Linked DNA regions of Pelodiscus sinensis. The protein of the gene in region 1 interacts with the protein of each later gene in a pairwise test. Links are inferred from orthologs where the notes say so. Each region holds a gene or a part of one and is shown on either strand. Other genes may lie near its edges.

The links.
Region 2: the proteins of HMG20A (region 1) and HPCAL1 interact in binary tests that used the Homo sapiens proteins (3 or more experiments, as listed by UniProt). The two-hybrid records come from large-scale screens. The link is inferred for Pelodiscus sinensis from reciprocal best matches to the Homo sapiens genes HMG20A and HPCAL1.

The regions. Positions count from the first base shown.
Region 1 is NC_134724.1:33,086,501-33,096,209, reverse strand, and holds the start of HMG20A (high mobility group protein 20A), read right to left. Parts: upstream 4,412-9,709; 5' UTR 4,266-4,411; intron 1-4,265. UniProt on the Homo sapiens protein: Plays a role in neuronal differentiation as chromatin-associated protein. Acts as inhibitor of HMG20B. Overcomes the repressive effects of the neuronal silencer REST and induces the activation of neuronal-specific genes.
Region 2 is NC_134713.1:27,068,391-27,077,911, reverse strand, and holds the start of HPCAL1 (hippocalcin-like protein 1), read left to right. Parts: upstream 1-5,146; 5' UTR 5,147-5,336; intron 5,337-9,521. UniProt on the Homo sapiens protein: May be involved in the calcium-dependent regulation of rhodopsin phosphorylation.

The DNA.
Region 1 (9,709 bases):
CTCTGTGGATATGGGAAAGTTAGTGGCTGTGATATATCTTGACTTTAGAAAAGCTTTTGATATTTTCTCCCACAATATTCTTGCCAGCAACTTAAGAGAATATGGATTGGATAAATGGACCATAAGATGGCTAGACTGTCGGGAGCAATGGGTAGCGATCAATGGCTTGATGTCAGGTTGGCGGTTGGTTTCTAGCGGAGTACCCCAAGATAATCTGTTCTAGGACCAGTTTTGTTCAATATCTTTATTAGTACCCGGAATGAAGGGAGAGATTGCATCCTCAGCAAGTTGGTAAATGACACTAAGCTGGGGGGAGAGGTAGATACGCTGGAGGGCAGGGACAGGGTCCAGAGTGACCTGGACAGATTAGAGGATGGGGCCAAAAGAAATCTGATGAGGTTCAACAAGGACAAGTGTAGAATCCTGCACTTGGGACGGAAGAATCCCAAGCATTGTTACAGGCTGGGGTCTGAATGGCTAAGTAGCAGTTCTGCTGAAAAGGACCTGGGGATTACAGTGGATGAGAAACTGGGTATGAGTGAACAGTGTGCCCTTGTAGCCAAGAAGGCTAATTGCATATTAGGGTGCATTAGGAGGAGCATTGCCAGCAGATACAGAGAAGTGATTATTTCCCTTTATTCAGCTCTGGTGAGGCCACATCTGGAGTATTGTGTCCAGTTCTTGGCCTCCACTATAGAAAGGATGTGGACACATTGGAGAGAATCCAGTGGAGGATGAACAAAATGATTAGGGGGCTGGAGCAAATGACCTATGAGGAGAGACTGAGTGATTTGGGTTTGTTTAGTCTGCAGAAGAGAAGAGTGAGGGGGAATTTGATAGCGGCCTTCAACTTCCTGAAGGGAGGTTCCAAAGAGGATGGAGAAAGGCTGTTCATAGTAGTGACGGATGGCAGAACAAGGAGCAATGGTCTCAAGTTACAGTGGGAGAGATCTAGGTTGGATATTAGGAAAATCTATTTCACTAGGAGGGTGGTGAAGCACTGGAATGGTGGTGGAATCTCCATCCATAGAGGTTTTTAAGTCTCATTTTGAGTAAGCCCTAGCTGGGTTGATTTAGTTGGGATTGGTCCTGCTTTGGGCAGGGGGCTGGACTTGATGACCCTCTGAGGTCTCTTCCAGTTCTATGATTGCGTTGGCTTGACATGATTTATTCTTGACAAATCCAAGTTGATTTATCACCTTGTCTTTTAGGCCTCTAGATAGGAGGTGTTTGATAAAACTTCTTAACTATTCTTTTGTTATCCATCAGCATGGCAAAGCATCAGTTTCACTGCAACTATTCAAAAGCTTGTGTGCATCAGTGAAACTGTCAAAAAAGCCAATTTCAAGCAACTGCTTCTCAGAAAACAATTAGCCACAGAAGGAGCCATTGTAAACATGCGGGTTATGTCACAGGGGAAAGACCTTACATTAAAATAAATGAAAGGTGGGGACAGAGTGAACTAGTAGTCTGTGAAAGAAAGATAATGACAGAGAGATTCTTAACAGAGAAAGGAAAAAAAAAGAAAGTTCTCTTATCCCCACCATCCCCTTCTAACCACTAGATGTGAATGAAAGAAGAACACTATGGCTATGTCTACACTCGCGGCTTCTTGTGGGAGTAATATGCAAATGAGGCTCAGCATGGAATATCGCTGAGCCTCATTTGCATACCTAACGAGCCACCTTTTTTCCAGAAGAGGCTCTTGTGCAAGAAGGAGCATCTACACTGCCCCTTCTTGCGCAAGAAAAACCCTCTTGCGCAATGCCGTTACACCTATTACTTTTCAGTATTGCGCAAGAGTGTAGACGTAGCCTACATGTGGTTGCTAAAGACAACTACCCGGTAAAAAATAAAGGCTGTGTCTACACTCCTGCTTTTTCCCAGAAAAGGAAATGCTAATCGAGCGCTAATTAGCATATATCTCGCTCTCATTTGCATATTCTTTTCCAATCCTTTTTGCAGAAGAGGTTTTTGAGCAAAAAAAACACAGTGTAGATGGGGCCATTTTGTACAAAAAAACCCTTTAATGCAAGAACCCATATTCCTTAAGGTTCTTGAGGAATAAGGGGTTCTTGCACAAAAGTGTTTTTTTGTGCAAAATGGCCCCATCTACACTGTGGTTTTTTGCTCAAAATCCTCTTCTGCAAAAAGGATTGGAAAAGAATATGCAAATGAGAGCATGAGATATGCTAATTAGTGCTCCATTTGCATTTCCTTTTCTGTGAAAAAGCAGGAGTGTAGATATAGCCTCAGACTCCTCACTCTTCTCAACTGTTGGTCAGTTCATACATCTCATCCTCCATAAATACCTCTAAGAATAGAGTTAGTTCTCGAGTTATAGTGTCTTGTAATCTCTTCAATCCTCCGCTGCATAACTTAAGACAAAACAAAGGTAAAGTAAGCTGAAGAAGTGGGTTATGCCCACGAAAGCTCATCTACATGTTTTTTTAGTTTTTAATGTGCTGCAAGACTATTTGTTGTTTAAGTTTTTCCAGTTTCGCTGTGTCTAGACCACAGTTTTACTTTCTAAATGGTGCTTTTTCAAAAAAGCGCCATGACACAATTATGCAAATCAAGGGCAGGATATTTAAATCCCCACTTCATTTGCACTTTCAAAGTGCCTCATTTACATCCCTCTGCCAACAGAGGGATGTAGTCTAGACATAGCATTACAGACTAACTCGGCTACCCCTCTGAAGTTTTTAAAAAGTAATGTTAATGTTCCATTTTGAATTAGCAGTTGAAAAACTGGTCATCGTGCTCATCTGTGTCTGTTACAGTTTCCTAGCATTTTAAATAACCATCATAATCAATGAAAAACGTTTTTATTTTCAACATGCTGTTAGGTATATATTTTCAGGGATCATAAATCAACACTGTAGTGCCAGTGTTATCTCAAGTTCAATTCCCAGCTCAAGCACTGATTTGTTATGGGCCTGAAGCAGGTTAACCCTCTTATATGCCTCACTTTTAGCATCTGTGAAATAGGTTTTGAAAAATGTACCAGTCACCTACTAAAAGAGTTCTAAAGCTATTAACTATATGCCAGTGAGAAATATGCTTGTTTTCCTTCAGCAAATTTCAAAGCCAATTCCTTGGTAGGAAACCTAGACTGCAACTGCTGAAAAGGTGAGCAATGTCCCAATCTTTCATCTTTCTGCCTCTAGACAGGAGGCGATTGATCTAATGCTGCTTCTCACTTCCAGCAGTTTGTTTTCTCTCTCTTCCCCACACAGCTTCCTGGCTGCTAGCAGAGGGTAAAAATACATCTTACACCCCTTCTCAGGAGGTATGCAACTCCAGCTATGTTAATTACATAGCTAGAGTCCACATACCTTGTTTCAAGTTTCCCCACCAACTCCACAGTGGGAGGCTGAAGGGAGCAAATGCTCCCATCAGCTTCCCTCCAGGCATCCTCTGAGTTCCATTTAGTGAGTCTTAACCAGACTCACTAAATCAAACTCTGTAAAATAGAGCTCAGCAGCTTCAATTCTCCCTTCAGTGAAGGGGAGGTAAGAATCATTCCACTGTTTCATTCCACCTACAAGCATATTTTGGGGGGTACCTTTGAAGGGCATTCCTTAACAGAAACAACATGACATTGACATCAGATTCATCTGTTTTACTGCTAAGCCATTGGTCTCCCTGTAGCAGTGAAACTGACCAGTCTTGTCAATTCTATTCTGAAATACCTGAAGATTTAAGAAGAATTTTCTCTGCAAGGAATAGAAACTTAAATGCTACACGAACTGGCTGTGAAAGCTCCCCATTAATGAGTGGATTTTCAATCTTAGTGTTAACTCCCTACCGCCTCCAAGATAGTTCAGGTTAATGGAGGAAAGACATTAAAGGACCAGCATCCCCTTATTTGTCCCTTTGTGCCGTAACAAGCCTGGGGGTTGTATGAGAAGAGGTCCCAGATCCGCCTGACACGTCCTTCCCCTCCGAGCCTCCTCCCCACACGAGGCCCTGGTTCCTGGCGTAGAAAAAGCGCTTCGATTTCCTTTGGTGTCCGGTGGGGATGGGAGCGAGGAAGCCCAGTGGCTCATCCCCTCCTCTCCTCGCCACGAGAGACGTTAGTGAGACTGAGTAACGGCTGCGGGGCTAGTGAGGGCGGAAGATTTCTCCTGGGGTCTGAGTGCCTGGGCAGGCCCCTTCCTCTGAGAGCCAGGAAATGGGGTGTCGCCTCCCCGGAGAGGCCCTCTCACGCACCCCACGAACGGGAAGAGGGGGCGAGGATCTCCCACCCCCTCTTTACTGACCTGCCGCAGGATGGCTTTCCAGGGGGTCCCCTACGGAGCAATTCCCCTCACCCCACTCAGTCTCCTCCAGCCTCTCTCACACAGCCGCATTACCCTCCTCTTGCCCCTCGCAGATCTCTCCGCCCCCTCACAGCCTCTCTCCCCGCTCCTATTTCCCCGTAGAAAGACTCTGCAAGGGACTCGACAACGAAGGCGGATGGAACCGACTCCTCTAGCTCCACCTTTGAGGCCGGAGAAAGGAAAGGGGCAGAAAGGCAGCGAGGAACTATTTGATCCAGCTGGCGGCAGTGTACTGCCTCTTGCACGCACAGTGACGTGTTCAATTTTTAAAGGGCCGGCGGCAGGGTGGGCGCAAAGGATGCTGGGGGTCGTAGTTTCCCCCTTTTCCAGCACCGACCACGCTGGGAGCATGTCTCGACAAACCGGTCGAGCCTACCTCGCCGCGCCACGCCCTTTGCTACGATTCGAGCCAATCGGCGTGCGCTTTGGGGTCGCGCGCTCCTGGCTCACTCTCCTATACGCTCGGGAGCGCGCGACTAGCTGGAGTCTCTTGCTCCGAGCGCGCAAGAGAGGATGGGTGCCGCGCGCGGGGAAGGAGGGACAGTTAGTGTCACGAGCCGTGGGGGGCGTGGTCTCTGCCTGTGGCCGGCCGCTGGCTCGGGTAGTTGAGTGGAGTGAGGCTGTCGGTGCCAGAGTGAGTCGGCTCGTCCCGGGGCTCGGCGGCAAACGAACCCCTCAGCCCCGCCAGTGTCCGGGGCCCGTGAGCGGTAAGAACGGCTGGGGGGGGGGAGCCAAAGTGACTTCGGGGCGCATAGACCCTCCGTGTGAAGGGCGGGGGCCGGGCTGACCCAACGGGCTCTTGAGCGGGGGTGGGGACTTCTCTGCGGGGGTAGGAATTGGCTCCCTTTGAGCGTGAGGAGGGACGTGTGATGGGGCGGGAGGGAAGGAGGCAGAGCCATCTAGGGACAATGAATTGGCTTCCCTTCCCCCATGGCTCAGGTTTCCTCTACGGGACGCCTCCTAAGTTGGGGTCCGGGGTGGGGGGCGGTAGGAAGGAAGAGACGCGTCTCTCCCGCTCAGCGGGTTTCTGGAGTAGAAGCAGCAACGATACCGTGGAAATGGCTGATCAACTTTGTTTTAACATCTCTGTCTCCTGAGGGATGGGGGCTGGGAATTGAGGGGGCATTGACGATCCAACGACAATGAAGGACGCCTAATGAGCCATCCTTCCGCAGCTCGGGATTCGTTGCTTGTCTCTTCATTTCCCCCTACAGTGCTCTCCTCCTCCCGAGCATCTAAAAGTGTGCTCCTCAAACTTAAAGGACAGAGCAGCTCCTTGTGGCTCAGATCAGATTGAGTCTATAGATCTCAACTGCTTTTTTATTACAGATCGATTATTTATTTGTAGGCTGGGGAGGCCAGGGCAGTTGCCACCCTTAGTATCTTTCACTTTAAACACATTTGATACTAGTGTCTTTGACACTATTTTTTAAAATAAGCATAATTGTTCTTCTTCTTGTGTATATATATATTGCATTTTCAGCATGCTCATTTGCTAAACATATTGCAAAGCAGTCTATCTCAGTCAACTGTTTTGACATCTTTGTGAGCTGTTCTTCTATTTACTTGCAAAATTCCTAGAAAGTGAAAACATTGCTTCAGACTCCAGTTTATTCTACTTTTCAGACATTTTTATTCATTTTTATTCCTTTCATTTTTATTACTGTACATTATCAGCATAAAGGAAATGAGACTAAAACTGTTAATTTATAAATACCAAATTAATTTTATATTGTATTAAGCTTTTCTGGTTTAAGTATTCTCTTCTGTCCCTTATTTGGGATTTGGTATATTGATCTGTGTGACTCTTTCTCTCCTTGTCCTGTTTTCCCCAATGACTAAGCTGGGACCAGATATGAAAGGGTTGAGAAGTTATTCATTGAAATCTGCTTTGTAATAATGAGTAAAAAAAGATGTTTATGTAGTGCAGCGATTATCATTATTTACTGAGCAGCTGGTATCTGACACAAGATGGCCATGCTCTTTTTGGCTTGCCTCAGGAACAAGAAACATTCCTGCTTGGATGAAGTGGATCTTTGCCCACGAAAGCTTATGCCCAAATAAATCTCATAGTCTTTATGATGTCACAGGACCCCTTGTTCTTTTTACAAATACAAACTAACACAGCTGAGCCTCTGATTAGGGATCTTAAATATCCATTAATTGAATAGTCAATTAACCTCATGAATTCTTATTGGTTACTCGACAATTCTATAATCCCCAGGTGTGGGGCCAGCAGCCAGTGCAATCTGGACCCATTCCCAAGGAGCCCCTTGCCGCTCTGTGCTACTGCTTCTGTATCAGAGGCAGCAGAGTGGTGTGCCAGGCAGGAGCTGATTGGAGAGAGGAGCCAGTTTAAAAACCAGCTCCCCTTGTGGACCAGCTGCCTGCCATCCCCGCTGCCTCTGATACAGAGGTAGCAGCATGGGGTGGCAGCAGCCCCTATTCGGGGGAGTGTGTGCGGATTTGAGCTCTCGGATCCGGAGTGAGCCAGAATGGAGGCGGGCTTGCCTGCCTGCCTGGCTCCTAATACACATCGAATGCAGTGCTGCAACAGGGATAGGTCCTGGACCCGGTGCAAGCTGGGACTCAGCCATGCTGCTGGTCAGCCTGCTAAAAAAAATTACCCGGGGGAGCAGGAGATGGAGGGGGAATGTGTGTCATCTATAGCATTAACTTATACGCTTTTGCTCATTAGTTAATCAATTTTACTACTACATCCCTACCTCCTGCTACTTGTTAAAATAAACAGAAGTAATCTTTCTAGGGAAGAGGCTGTGATCAACTCTGAGTAGATTCCAATGGATAACTTCTCAACCCTTTTATATCTGGTCCCAGCTTAATCTTTGAGAAAACAGTAGAAGCGATAAGGGGAGACCAAGAAATACTGATCATGAATTTGATGAAGTAGGTCTTTGTCCATGAAAACATATGTCCAAATCTGTTAGTCTTTAAGGTGCCACAGGACTCCTCATTGTTTCTGTTTATTTTAGTTACATTTTGGATGGTTCTTTTTTGTAGAACTCTTAATTCTGTGCACTTTGATCAGTACTGACGCTTCTACTTTTACTATAGGGCTATGTCTACACTCGCGGCTTCTTGCGCGAGAAATATGCAAATGAGGCTAAATGTTTTAAGAGTTGTCTCCTGTCTGTAAAAGCACTTTCCTCCAAAATTTGTGATTCTATGTGTCTGTGAAAAATGTTACTTTACAATATAGATACAATAAAGAATAGAAAAAATTAAATACAAAATATTAAATCAAACAGTTTATTATAGGATTCAAAATTAAGGTCTTGAGACATTCACTCTAGATTTGATGGAATACTAGAATTCAAATTCTATAGTTAGATGAAGGCTATTTAAAACTGATTGTCCTATAGTTTAAAATAAGCCGTATATATGTTTGTGTTACAGGTGAGATTCATTTAGTTAAGTGTGACTATATCTGACCGATGACTGACTTTTATACTCAACTGGATATATGGTTTGATTCAGAGCAGTAAAGTAGGAGATATTTGTACTGCTGAACATTTTGCTTGGTAACTTTGACCTAGGTTTAATATGATTAGTTAGAGCTCTTCACCTGATTCCATCTTAGCTTATAGATTTTTGTTCTGCAAAGTAGTTATTGATGATTTTTCCAGATAAAATGTCTGGCAAAGCTTTAGCATGTGTTTCAGGAAAACCTCATATTGCTCTCTGTAGTGTTGAAATATGTAAGAAGTGAATTATTCACTTTCCATGAGTAACTTTCCGTGAGTAATCCTACACTCTCATTTCATGATGGGGATACCTTATTGTCAGAGTGTCCTGCGTTGCTCCATTTTCTGACTTCCCAAATTACTTTTCAAAAATTGTTTGGCTTATCTTGACTCTGGTGACTCATTCACACATGAACTACAATGGCAGGTAGTGTGTGTTTCTTAAGTTATAGGACAGAAGGTATCAATTTAAACCGAGACAAATCTAGTGACGAGCAAGTTTAATTATAGATCTTTACTGTTACTGGTCAGTTTCACCTAGCTACATTAAGTTCAGAAACATGGTGTTAATATTAAGGACAGGAGCCATTAAACTTACTGTGTATGTGTTTAACAGCATAACATTTACCACTGTGTTGATAAGTCACAGTGTGCTACAATTTTTATTCAGTACATTTTATACTTTTTTTGGAAGGGATGTGTGTGTAAGGAAAGGGGTATATCTGTACAAAGGACCACTTTGCAAATACACCTAATTTCTGTAGATACAACTCCATATATACCTTTTTTAGATTTTTTTTTTTTTTACCTACATAATCCTTGATGTATGCTGTTCAAATTAATTGAGTACATTTAATACATTAGGAAACATGACGTGTTTTTTGAGCTAGTAGAGCTTTAATGGTCTCTTATGTAATCAGAACAGTCAAACTTTTTACATGAGCCACACCATGATCACAAGTTATGGTTTGGAGTCATACATGTGCTAAGCCTCTCTGTTCTGTTAGGAAACATGTACACAAAGTAGATATACAGGTTGAACCTTTCTAGTCCATCATTCTCTGGTCCATTAACATCTGTGTTCTGGCATGATTTAAGTTAGCTAAATGTACACTTATCATGGGTGTGGCTAAGTTTTCTGCAGTCCCATAAAGCAGGGGTGGGGAGCCTTTTTTGGACTGGGGCAGCTGAACCACCGAAAAGTCAATTGGGGGCCACACGCAAGTGAGAAGCAAAAAACCCAAATCTTAACTGATGTGGCCCCTAACTGAAAAGGAGAAAGACACTCCTTATATTCCCCTCACATACCAGAGCCTAGTAGATTTTGTGTGCTCCAGCCTTACGGGGAGGTGTGTGTGGTGGGGAGCTGGAGCGCCAGAGTGGGCTCCCCAATGCTGAGGGGTGCCCTGAGACTCGGGGCCCGGATCCAGACAAGCTGGGGGCTGCATGTGGTCCCTGGACCTTAGGTTTCCCATCCCTGCCATAAAGTTTGTTTCCAGCCACCAACCCTGGTTTTCAATGGCCCGTGCTATTATTTACCTCCAGTTTACCACTAAATGTCTTCTAAGAACCCAATAATCAGTGGAAATGTTGGTAAAGTTGCTAGACAAATAGACCTCCTGAGGTTCAGCATTGGTCAGGTCCTGAGGGTACTGGACTACAAAGGTTCAACTGAGAATGTAAGCAACCAATCACTTCTACCATTAGCTGCCTTTATCAGAGTGGGGTGCGGGAGGCAGGGCTGAGGGGAGCTGTCTTAAAATACATGTAAAAGGCTGATGCGCAGTGGAGGCGGGGGGGGGGGGGGATCCGGTGCAGCTGGGAATCAGCTGTCCTGGGCTCACACTGGGTCCCTCCTGCTGTCAGTAGGCTCTTAATACATTTAAAACTCAGAGCTGC
Region 2 (9,521 bases), on another chromosome or scaffold:
AATACAGTGTATGGATTAAATGCTATGGATAGGAAGAGATCTGAAAGACTGAAGGAGATGATGAATCTAAGCAATCAAGCAGAACCCCTAAGGAGGATATACTGTGGAAGTCAGCTGTGCTCACAGTTATTTGTACATTCTCAGAATGATAAATAATGTAAAGCCCCTTCATAATATTATGTCAAAATAGTCTGCTATTTCTTTTTCCACAATGTAGTAACATCCTAAACAGCTATAAAGTTGAAAGCATTATTACATTGCTGGGCGAGAATTCTGAGCTTGAGACAGGTAGCAGTTTTACTCTCTAATAACACACTTGTGCCTCTGTGTTTCTCTTTTGCTCTTCTTGTCACACATTAACAAGATTCAGATTGTATTTTTATGAGCAGCATGGTTAGAGAGCTAGCAAAATCTCAGACAATGAAAAGCAACTGCACAACCTTTTCGTAAAGGAAGAGAGAGCATGCCCCAAGTTTAAAGTCTCCGAAAGTAGGTTCAGACACCTAAGAGAGAATTTAAATTAGTTTAGAAAGGGAAACAGATGCAGGACTATTGTAGAATGTTTTTCAATGAGTAAACTTCAAGGAAAAAAATGAATTTGGACCAAATGTATACTTTTTGGTGTTTTGTGCTTCTTCCTATAACGTCTCAGTGAATCCTTTATCTCAATACATGTGGAGGAAGCTAAGAGACACTGGCAAGTGTTTGACATTAACTGTGCAATCTGACTATATTTTCAAAGCTATCAGGAATAACCTGAGGTAACTTTTCATAGGGGGAAATATACAGAGAGAGGAGAGAGAGTTTTATGGGATTTGGGGTTTGATTTTTAGTCCCCCTTGTGTTTGAATCTTGAAGTCCTGGTCTTCAGTAAGGTCAGGGCTGGCCTTACCATGAGGCGAACTGAGGTGGCCACCTCAGGTGCCAGACTGTGGGGGGGGGCACCATTAGGACCCAGAGTGTAGAAAATTGTATCTGCTGCTGGTGCATAGGTATTCTCTCTGCAGTACCATGAGAGGAGTAGAACAGGAAGAAGGCAAAATTGGGACTTTTCAAAGTTTTGGCCCAAGCAAAGGGTCATTCGGGCATCATTTGAGCTCCCTGCCTCATGTGCCAAAATGTTGTGGGCTAGCCCTGAATAGGGTCAGAATTCCACCCCACACATATAAAGTCACTTACATTTTTAACCCTCCATTTAGGTCAGCTAGCTCAAGTTTAAAGCACTACCTAACACAAGATAGAGATTTGTGTGTGTGAACAGAAGTTAGACTAGTCCTTAGTCTAATAAAATGGGGCTAATTGCAGCTCTCCTTCATTTAAATGAACTATAAAATACATCCCTTTTGAGTAATTCTAGAATAGAATATAAACTGGTTGTTATGACAGAAGCTCTTAATTGCTCCTTTTTATTCTGGCTGCTGCTTTCACTATCTTTTATCGGGGCCTTGGGTACTGTACTCCTGGTGTCATTTAAACAAGACTTTTTGACTCTGTGTGTTGCGCTTCACATTTGGACTCATTTTTGCCAATGATTTTCTGATGTTGTACTACCACCTGAGTATCTGTGTTAATTCTTTTTTTTTTTGGCTAGAAGGTTAGACACAGCTCAGTCCAGGTGGTAGTACAACCTTATTGATTCTTGTTTGCTGACAGAGGCTATGTCTAGACTGCAGAGCTTTTCCAGGATACCAGAGGAATGTGTATGCTTTTTCAGAACAGTTTCCGAAAAAGCGTACATGTTCTTTCAGTATCCCTGTATTCCTCTTGGTGACAGGAATAAAGGATGTTCCAAAAGAGGACTTTTTTCTGAAATTTGGCCAAATGTCAGAAAAGCCTCTTTCGGAAAACAAAGCAAAAAAAGATATGCAAATTGGGTATCTTTTGCCGACTTTTCTTGGCAGTCTAGATGCCTTCAGGGCATCCCTTATCCCACCTCCCCTCCACCCGTGCTGTCCATGTGGAAGGCGGCATAAGGGACACCCTGAAGGTAAGGTGGTGGGATGGGTTCTCCTGTTGACTAGTGGCTAGCTAGGGCATTCACCTGGGGAGGGAAGGGTAGTCAGTCTATAGTGGCAAAAATCTACTTTACTTCAGTGGAGGCAGGATTTCATCCTGGGAACAAAAGCTTTTTTTCTTTAAAGGAGAAATGCTTGTCTGCTAGTAATTGGGATGATAGTCATTCTGTTTTTCCATCCTACAAGGTTTCTGTAATCATGTGGTATGTATATTTTCTATGTATCAAGAAGAGAAGAGGAAAAAAGTATGCATCTGATTAAATGAGTTTTAGCTAAATCAATTTGTTAGTCTTTAAGATGCCAACCACAGGACTCGTCATTGTGTTTTCTGAAACAGACTAACATGGCTACCTCTTCGGAAAAAAGCATATTAACTTTCCCATGACAAAAACTGGAAATGACAGACACAAGAAGTAGGAGTGTGGGGGATGCTGCAGCACCCCCAGGTTTTGCACCTGACTTCCTCAGGCGTGGGGGCCAGTCCCAATGCTGGCTCTTCCAGGTCCTGCCTGCCTCATTTGCTTTGCAGAGAATTCTGCTATCAATTTCAATACCTGTACTCCGCCTCCCCGAGAGGTGGTAGGAAAGACACAGCACGATCTGGGTAGATTGATATAAGCTATATCACTCAGCGAGGGGGAGGGTGTCACACCTCTGGCTGACTTAAGTAGCAGTGTTGACCAGGCCTGAGAGAATTTTCTTATCAACCTACCGCTGGCTACAAAGGCGTTAAGTTGGTTTATCTGTGTCACTTGGGTATGGATTTTCACATCGTGGAGAGAAGTAGTTATATTGATCTAATTTCCTAATGTAAACCAGGCCTCAGAGTGGCCACCTGTTCTGCTTTTTGTCAGAGCAACCCTGTCCTATTAGAAAAATTCAAAAAAGGACTTTTGGGAAATTTCTTCTCAGCATGACTCTGAATTATAGCACAATGAGAGTCTGATAGTAACAGTCTGAGATAAACATCACACCAGCTTTGCTATATCTTGCCTTTCTTACTCCTCTGCTGCCTTCTCTTGGACTTGTTTTTCCTTCTCATCTTCATAAAAGTGAAGTGAACACAAGACATCTGGTTTAGAGAGCTGTTTCCTGATCCTCACTACCCAGGTGAAGAGGGCAAAAAATGTGATATACAGAGGTAGAGATGCAGCTGTGAACTAATGGGTAAGTGTGCTGGTATGATAGGTGAACCAATTACTGATGCCGTATGGTCTGCAAGATTCTATTCAGTAACTGCAGACATAGAAGAAACTCTATGAAAAATAAATACAGTGAGCACCTAAATGATGTATAGTCACTCTTTAAAAAAAAACCTTCCTTCAAGCTTTGACTGTTCATTTTTCTGCACATCACATGAACATAGTAATTGTGGATGTACTTGGATTGGAGGAGATAGCAGAGGCCAATTATTTCTTGAAGCTGTAATTTATTTTTCTTTCAGTCTCCTGGAAATCATGAGTTCTTTGCAACCAGCCTAAAGCTGAAGCATTATTGAAGGAAGCTGATTTAAATGTGCCTACCAGGAGTGTACAGTCAAAAGGGCTTCTCCCTACAACTTTTCATTTAGTTTTTTTTTAAACTTATTTTGCATTCCAGTCTTTGTCCTCTTAAAAAGCATGGAATAGAAAGCTTTGGCTTTCAAAAGCAGACTCTGATTTTGTACATGCATATGTACATTTTAAAATCTGCAGTGGTTTGCGTTTCAGAGATAGCTGTGTTACCCTGCTTCAGCAAAAACAATGAGAAGACCTGTGGCACCTTAAAGACTAACTATTTTGTTTCGGCTTACACTGTCATAGGCTGGAACCCACAATGCATCTCCAGACCATGAAAGCTTATGCAGCTCCCCTTCCCCCTGCAATTGTTAGGCTTTAAGGCACTACAGGTATCCTACTGGTTTGTGTGTACATGTAAACCGTTGAATAGTTATCTACCTGTATCCACAATCTTAACATTATACATTGGGTTTGTTTGCTGAGTGCAGCCACTTCTCAAAATCAGGACCAAATTGAACATTCCTTATAAATGTTGTTAGCAGCTTCTTGTAACTTTTTGGTCCCAGGATATTAGAGAGACAAGGACCAACTTTTCTCTTGGTGAAAGAGACAATATGGTCCTTTTTCAGTTAATTTTTTTTCCTCATCTCTTGTTTATGTTTGCTTTGGAGCACTTGCCCATGCTGTAGTGCTGATGTCTATAAGCATTGCAGGTTTACCACAGTGTTTCAGGGCTTGTCTATATTGTCCTACAGTGCAGACATGGGGGTGTGAATTGCAGAGTACACCAAATCATTGTGCTCTAATTGCTCTGTGTTGATGCTGCTGGTGTGAACTAAACAATATTTAGCTTGCATTCATATAGCCCTGTTTGAAGAGCCACCATGATTCAGTGGCTGGCTGCGTCTGTAACAGCACATCACAAAAGGGGTGACTCTAAAACATGCAGCAGGCCAAATCACTTTAATAGCTGAAGACTGCACAAACACTGACATTTATCCTGCAATTACCTCTAAGGCATAGAGCTTAACAAACCAAAATCACACACACAGATGGAATTTTGAGACAGTGAAAGATTAAGGGTAAGATTTTCAAGAGCACGAGTCACTTGATTTTCAATATGACTCAGGTGATTATGTCACTTAGGTGCTCTCACATCCAGGACAAGGTCAGTTCAACCTAATGGCTGGAGAAGGAGTCAAGTTGAGTCAGGCACCAGGAGGTCAGAGTCCAAGACAGGCCATATGGTGAACTGAGAGTCAGGCATCAGGAGACAGGCAGGGTAAGGTTACCAGGAAATTGGGATCAGGAACCAGATAACAGCTAGCAATTGAACACTGAAGTTGAGGACAAATCAGGGCTGGAAGTTGGAGTTTCTAGGATCCAGCAGGGTCTGGAGCAGAGACTGGCAGATAGTCTTTTATTGCTCAGACATCTCCCCTTCATAGCTTCTTGGTTTAAATACTGGTGTAGTCCCCTTATTAAAGGGGTCTCTGACTTTTTCTGGGAGGATCCTGTGTGCTGCAATCTAGCCGTAGAGACTACAACTCCCATGAGCCCTTGAGAAAAAAAGGGGAAGTGGGGCTTGTCTAGGCATGTTGGTAGAGAGGGCTCTCTATTTTGGGACAGAGGAGCCAGACTGCTGTGGAGGAGCCTTGTCCAGTCCAGAAGCTGTGGTGTTGCAGCTACAGCCTGGGACTGAGAGCCTGCGGGGCTTGGATCTAGCAGGCTGCTTCAGAGACTGTTGATTGCCCTAGAGGGAAGAGACTCTGGCTGTGTCTGCAGCTGAGAAGGACTAAAAACCGGCACACAGATGGAAACTGTAAGTAACTCACTGGGTTTTTCTGGAAAAGAGCTGCCTGGGACAAAGCTCAGCACCAGCCCAGTGAACCAAAGCTGCTGGCATTTGGTGGAGCCTGCTCCAGTGGCAGAGGGATTTTGCAGCTGGCTACTCAGCTTGGGCTAACACACATAGGACCTGCACAGTGCTGTCTCCACATATAGCTACAGACCTTCAAGCGTGCCCACGCAAGCAAGTGTCCGGGACTCTGACTCCAGAGGAGTGCACACTCTGGGGTGGGATAAATGGTGGCAGTGCAAATGCCAGATAGATAAGTTCCTATTATTTCTGTGTACTTTGTTAATTGATTTTACTCACTGTTAATCTGTTAAACCCTGTTTCTTTAAGTTGTTAAGTAAAGGTGTGTTAATTCTATGTAATCAATTAGATGTATATTATTTATAAGAGTTGTCCTGGGGTTAGATCCAGATTACTGTTGGAATAATTTTATTCCTGGAGGCTCCCAAGGCACACCATTAAGTGTATACAGGGCCAGACAGGTGGGGGCACGACCATTGTGTATTCTTACGGAGCAAGGGACTGCAGGAAGCGGGGGGACAGGGAATCCCCAACTAAACAACATCACCACTGGGGTACTCAGGATCTCCTTTTATGTTAAAAACATAAGGCGCCCAGGCACACCTGTGAGTGTGACCTGCTCCAAGTAACCCAGGGAGGAAAAAGGGGGTTATACTGGTATCAGCCAGTCCAGGAACTGAAGAAGCCAACACTCAGGTCCTTCTATGTGATCCTTCCGGGCAATCCTTCTGACTGAGCCCTACCTCACATGGTCCTGTTGGAGGAGCCTAGCCTCAGTCTCCTGTGGCAATGTGGACGTGTCAGTGACGCAGAACTCCCAGGTTCCAGCCTTGCAGGTTCTAACAGGTGCTTTAAAAACACTGCCCTGATTGAGATGGGCAAAATCACACAGGGGCTGCTTTTGCGGAAAAACTTGCCAGCTGTCTACACTGTCCGCTTTGAATTTGCGCAAGAATACTGACGATCTAATGTAAGATTGTGAGTGTTCTTCTGCAAATACAATGACTCTCCCATTCGGGAAAAAGCCCTCTTGCGCAAATGCTTTTGCGTAAGACGGCCAGTGTAGACAGCTGAGAACCATTTTGCGCAAAAAAGCCCCGATGGCGAAAATGGCAATCAGGGCTTTCTTGTGCAAAACCGCGTCTAGATTGGCACGGATGCTTTTCTGCAAAAAGTGCTTTTGCGCAAAAGCGTCCGTGCCAATCTAGATGCTCTTTTCCACAAATGCTTTTAACGGAAAAGCTTTTCCGTTTAAAAGCATTTGCGGAAAATCATGCCAGTCTAGACGTAGCCAGGAGGTATATGGTGGAACTCGAACTAAATTCCTAGAGTCACAATTCAATGATGGGATCCCTATGGTACAAGCTGGATCTGGGAGACAACTGGGGGTATGTCTACACTACCCTCCTAGTTCGAACTAGGAGGGTAATGTAGGCATACCGCACTTGCAAATGAAGCCCGGGATTTGAATTTCCCGGGCTTCATTTGCATAAGCGGGGAGCCGCCATTTTTAAAACCCCGCTGGTTCGAACCCCGTGCAGCGCGGCTACACGGGGCACGAACTAGGTAGTTCGAACTAGGTTTCCTAGTTCGAACTACCTAGTTCGTGCCCCGTGTAGCCGCGCTGCACGGGGTTCGAACCAGCGGGGTTTTAAAAATGGCGGCTCCCCGCTTATACAAATGAAGCCCGGGAAATTCAAATCCCGGGCTTCATTTGCAAGTGCGGTATGCCTACATTACCCCACTAGTTCGAACTAGGAGGGTAGTGTAGACATACCCGTGGGTCCCTTAATTCTCCAGCCTAGTATGACGTTATCAGGTTGAAATGCTAAAATACTTCCGTTTAGGATGGAGTAACAGTGTAATTTTGGGGTAGGATCTGAGCTGTATATCGACCTGGGTGTATGGCTGATCCTTTGGGATCATAAGAACCTATTATTTGATGAGACTGATTGTAAGGAACATTTACTCTCTGGAACCAGTGTTTTTGATGGTGTAATAAGACTGGAATGCCTTAGGAACTGCTTTTATGACTTCTTGTTAGCCTGTGTGGTAAGACAGAAGTTATTTTTGTTGCTGGTTTGGTATATCTCATGGGTAATAACCATCAGCATTTTGTGACAGATTTGTTATATTCCTCAGCAGCATTCATGGATCATAACTGAGAAGGCACAGTTATACCTGGGCTGTCCCTGACAATGGCTCGCCAATAACAAACAGCCAACTCCTTCAGGTGCTGTGATCACTCAGTATGCAGAGACTCACAACCAGCTAAATTGCATGAAAGCTTTCTGAGCCATTTGCAAATCATACAGAGAGGGACACCAGCCAATCACCCCCACCTTGCAGCCCGGAAATACATCATCTTTCACTGCTCAAGACTCCCTTGGACTGTGCAGACTCATTTATGAGTTTGCCACTACAGCAAGGGGTAGAGGATGTGCAACAGCCCTTGTTAACCTGAGCTGAGATTCCCCAAGAATGTCAGCCAAAATCATAACATTTATAAACCAGAATTATTAGCTATAGAAAAATATATTAAGTAGCAGGTATAGAAAGCAAAATTGATTATATTAGAAATACAAATAGAAACACAGTTGAAATTCTAACTGCAGTGGAGTAAAGCCATTTCTACACTGGGGGTATGTCTAGATTACATGCCTCTTCCGACAGAGGCATGTAAAATAGGCTACCCGACATAGTCAATGAAGCGGGGATTTAAATATCCCTGGCTTCATTAAAATAAAAATGGCTGCCGCACTGTGCTGGCTCAGCTGATCATTGGCACAGCGCACGAGTCAAGACGCAGATAGGTCAACAAGGGAAGCCTTTGTCAACCGCTCCTGTAAAGCTCATTTCACGAGGCATAAAGGAGTGGTAGACAAAGGCTTCCCTTGTCGACCGATCCACATCTTGACTCGCACGCTGTGCCAAAGATCAGCTGAGCCGGCACAGCGCAGCGGCCATTTTTATTTTAATGAAGCCGGGGATCTTTAAATCCCTGCTTCATTGACTATGTCGAGTAGCCTATTTTACATGCCTCCATCGGCAGAGGCATGTAATCTAGACATACCCATAGAGCAGGGGCGGATGAGAGTGCCGCGCTGTGTGGGGCCCCAGGCAGCACAATTTCACAGGGGGTCCCCCCTTTGACATGGCGCATGCGCTGTGGCGCCACGGCGCATGCGCGGGGCTTCTGCAAGCGAAGGGCCCGGGGCAGCCACCCCACTCGCCCTGTCCCAAATCCGCCGCTGCCATAGAGCGCCACAGCAGCAAAGCTGTACGGACACAGCAGCAGTGCTGCAGTGTGTGTGTGGTGAAGATGCTCTATGCCGATGAGAGAAAGCTCTTCTCTCAGCATAATAAAGTCACTGCCATGAGTGTCAGAAGCTGTGTTGGTGGGAGAAGCTGTCCTGCTGACATAGCGCTAGGCACATGAGTGTTTATGCCAATGTCACTTTTGTTGACCGGGGGGGATGAAATAGTCACATCCCATGAACAACGTAAGTTTTGCCGACATAAAAGGTAGTAAAAACAACCAGGAGTCCTGTGGCACCATAAAACTAACACATGTACTTGGGCATAATCTTTTGTGGGCTTGAGCCCACTTTGTCAGATGCATAAGTGGTAGTGGAGACATAGCTTGAGCAAAATTGGAATCAAGCATCTTTTCTTATCCTAATAGATGTTACCAGCAGCTCACAGTCCTTAAGGCACAGGTTGTGTTCCTTTTCAGCCTGGGCTCAATCTCCCCAGTTCAGAATCTTGTCTTTCAGATGATCTTCCAAGTGTTGATATGGGTGAAGAGAGAGGCCAAATGGTGATGTTGCTGTCCTTCTTTTGTACTTTCTTCTAGCTGCTAGAAAGAGCCTTGCTCTGACACACAAATTAGGCTGCCTCCATCAGATACATGACCTCTGAAGAGTCTCTGGGTTGGGACTGAGCCACTTTTTGATATCTGTGATGGTCACAGAAGACCTCTTTGGGGTGCTTCCCAGAGTGCTGACACAGCCATTGACACTCACCTCTTTGCTCTCTGGGGGGGGTCTCACCACCCTGTCCTGCTGGGCTAGATCACTTGGTCTCCCCCAGCCAAGGTACAGAGCCATCCCCCCCCCCCTTCCCCAG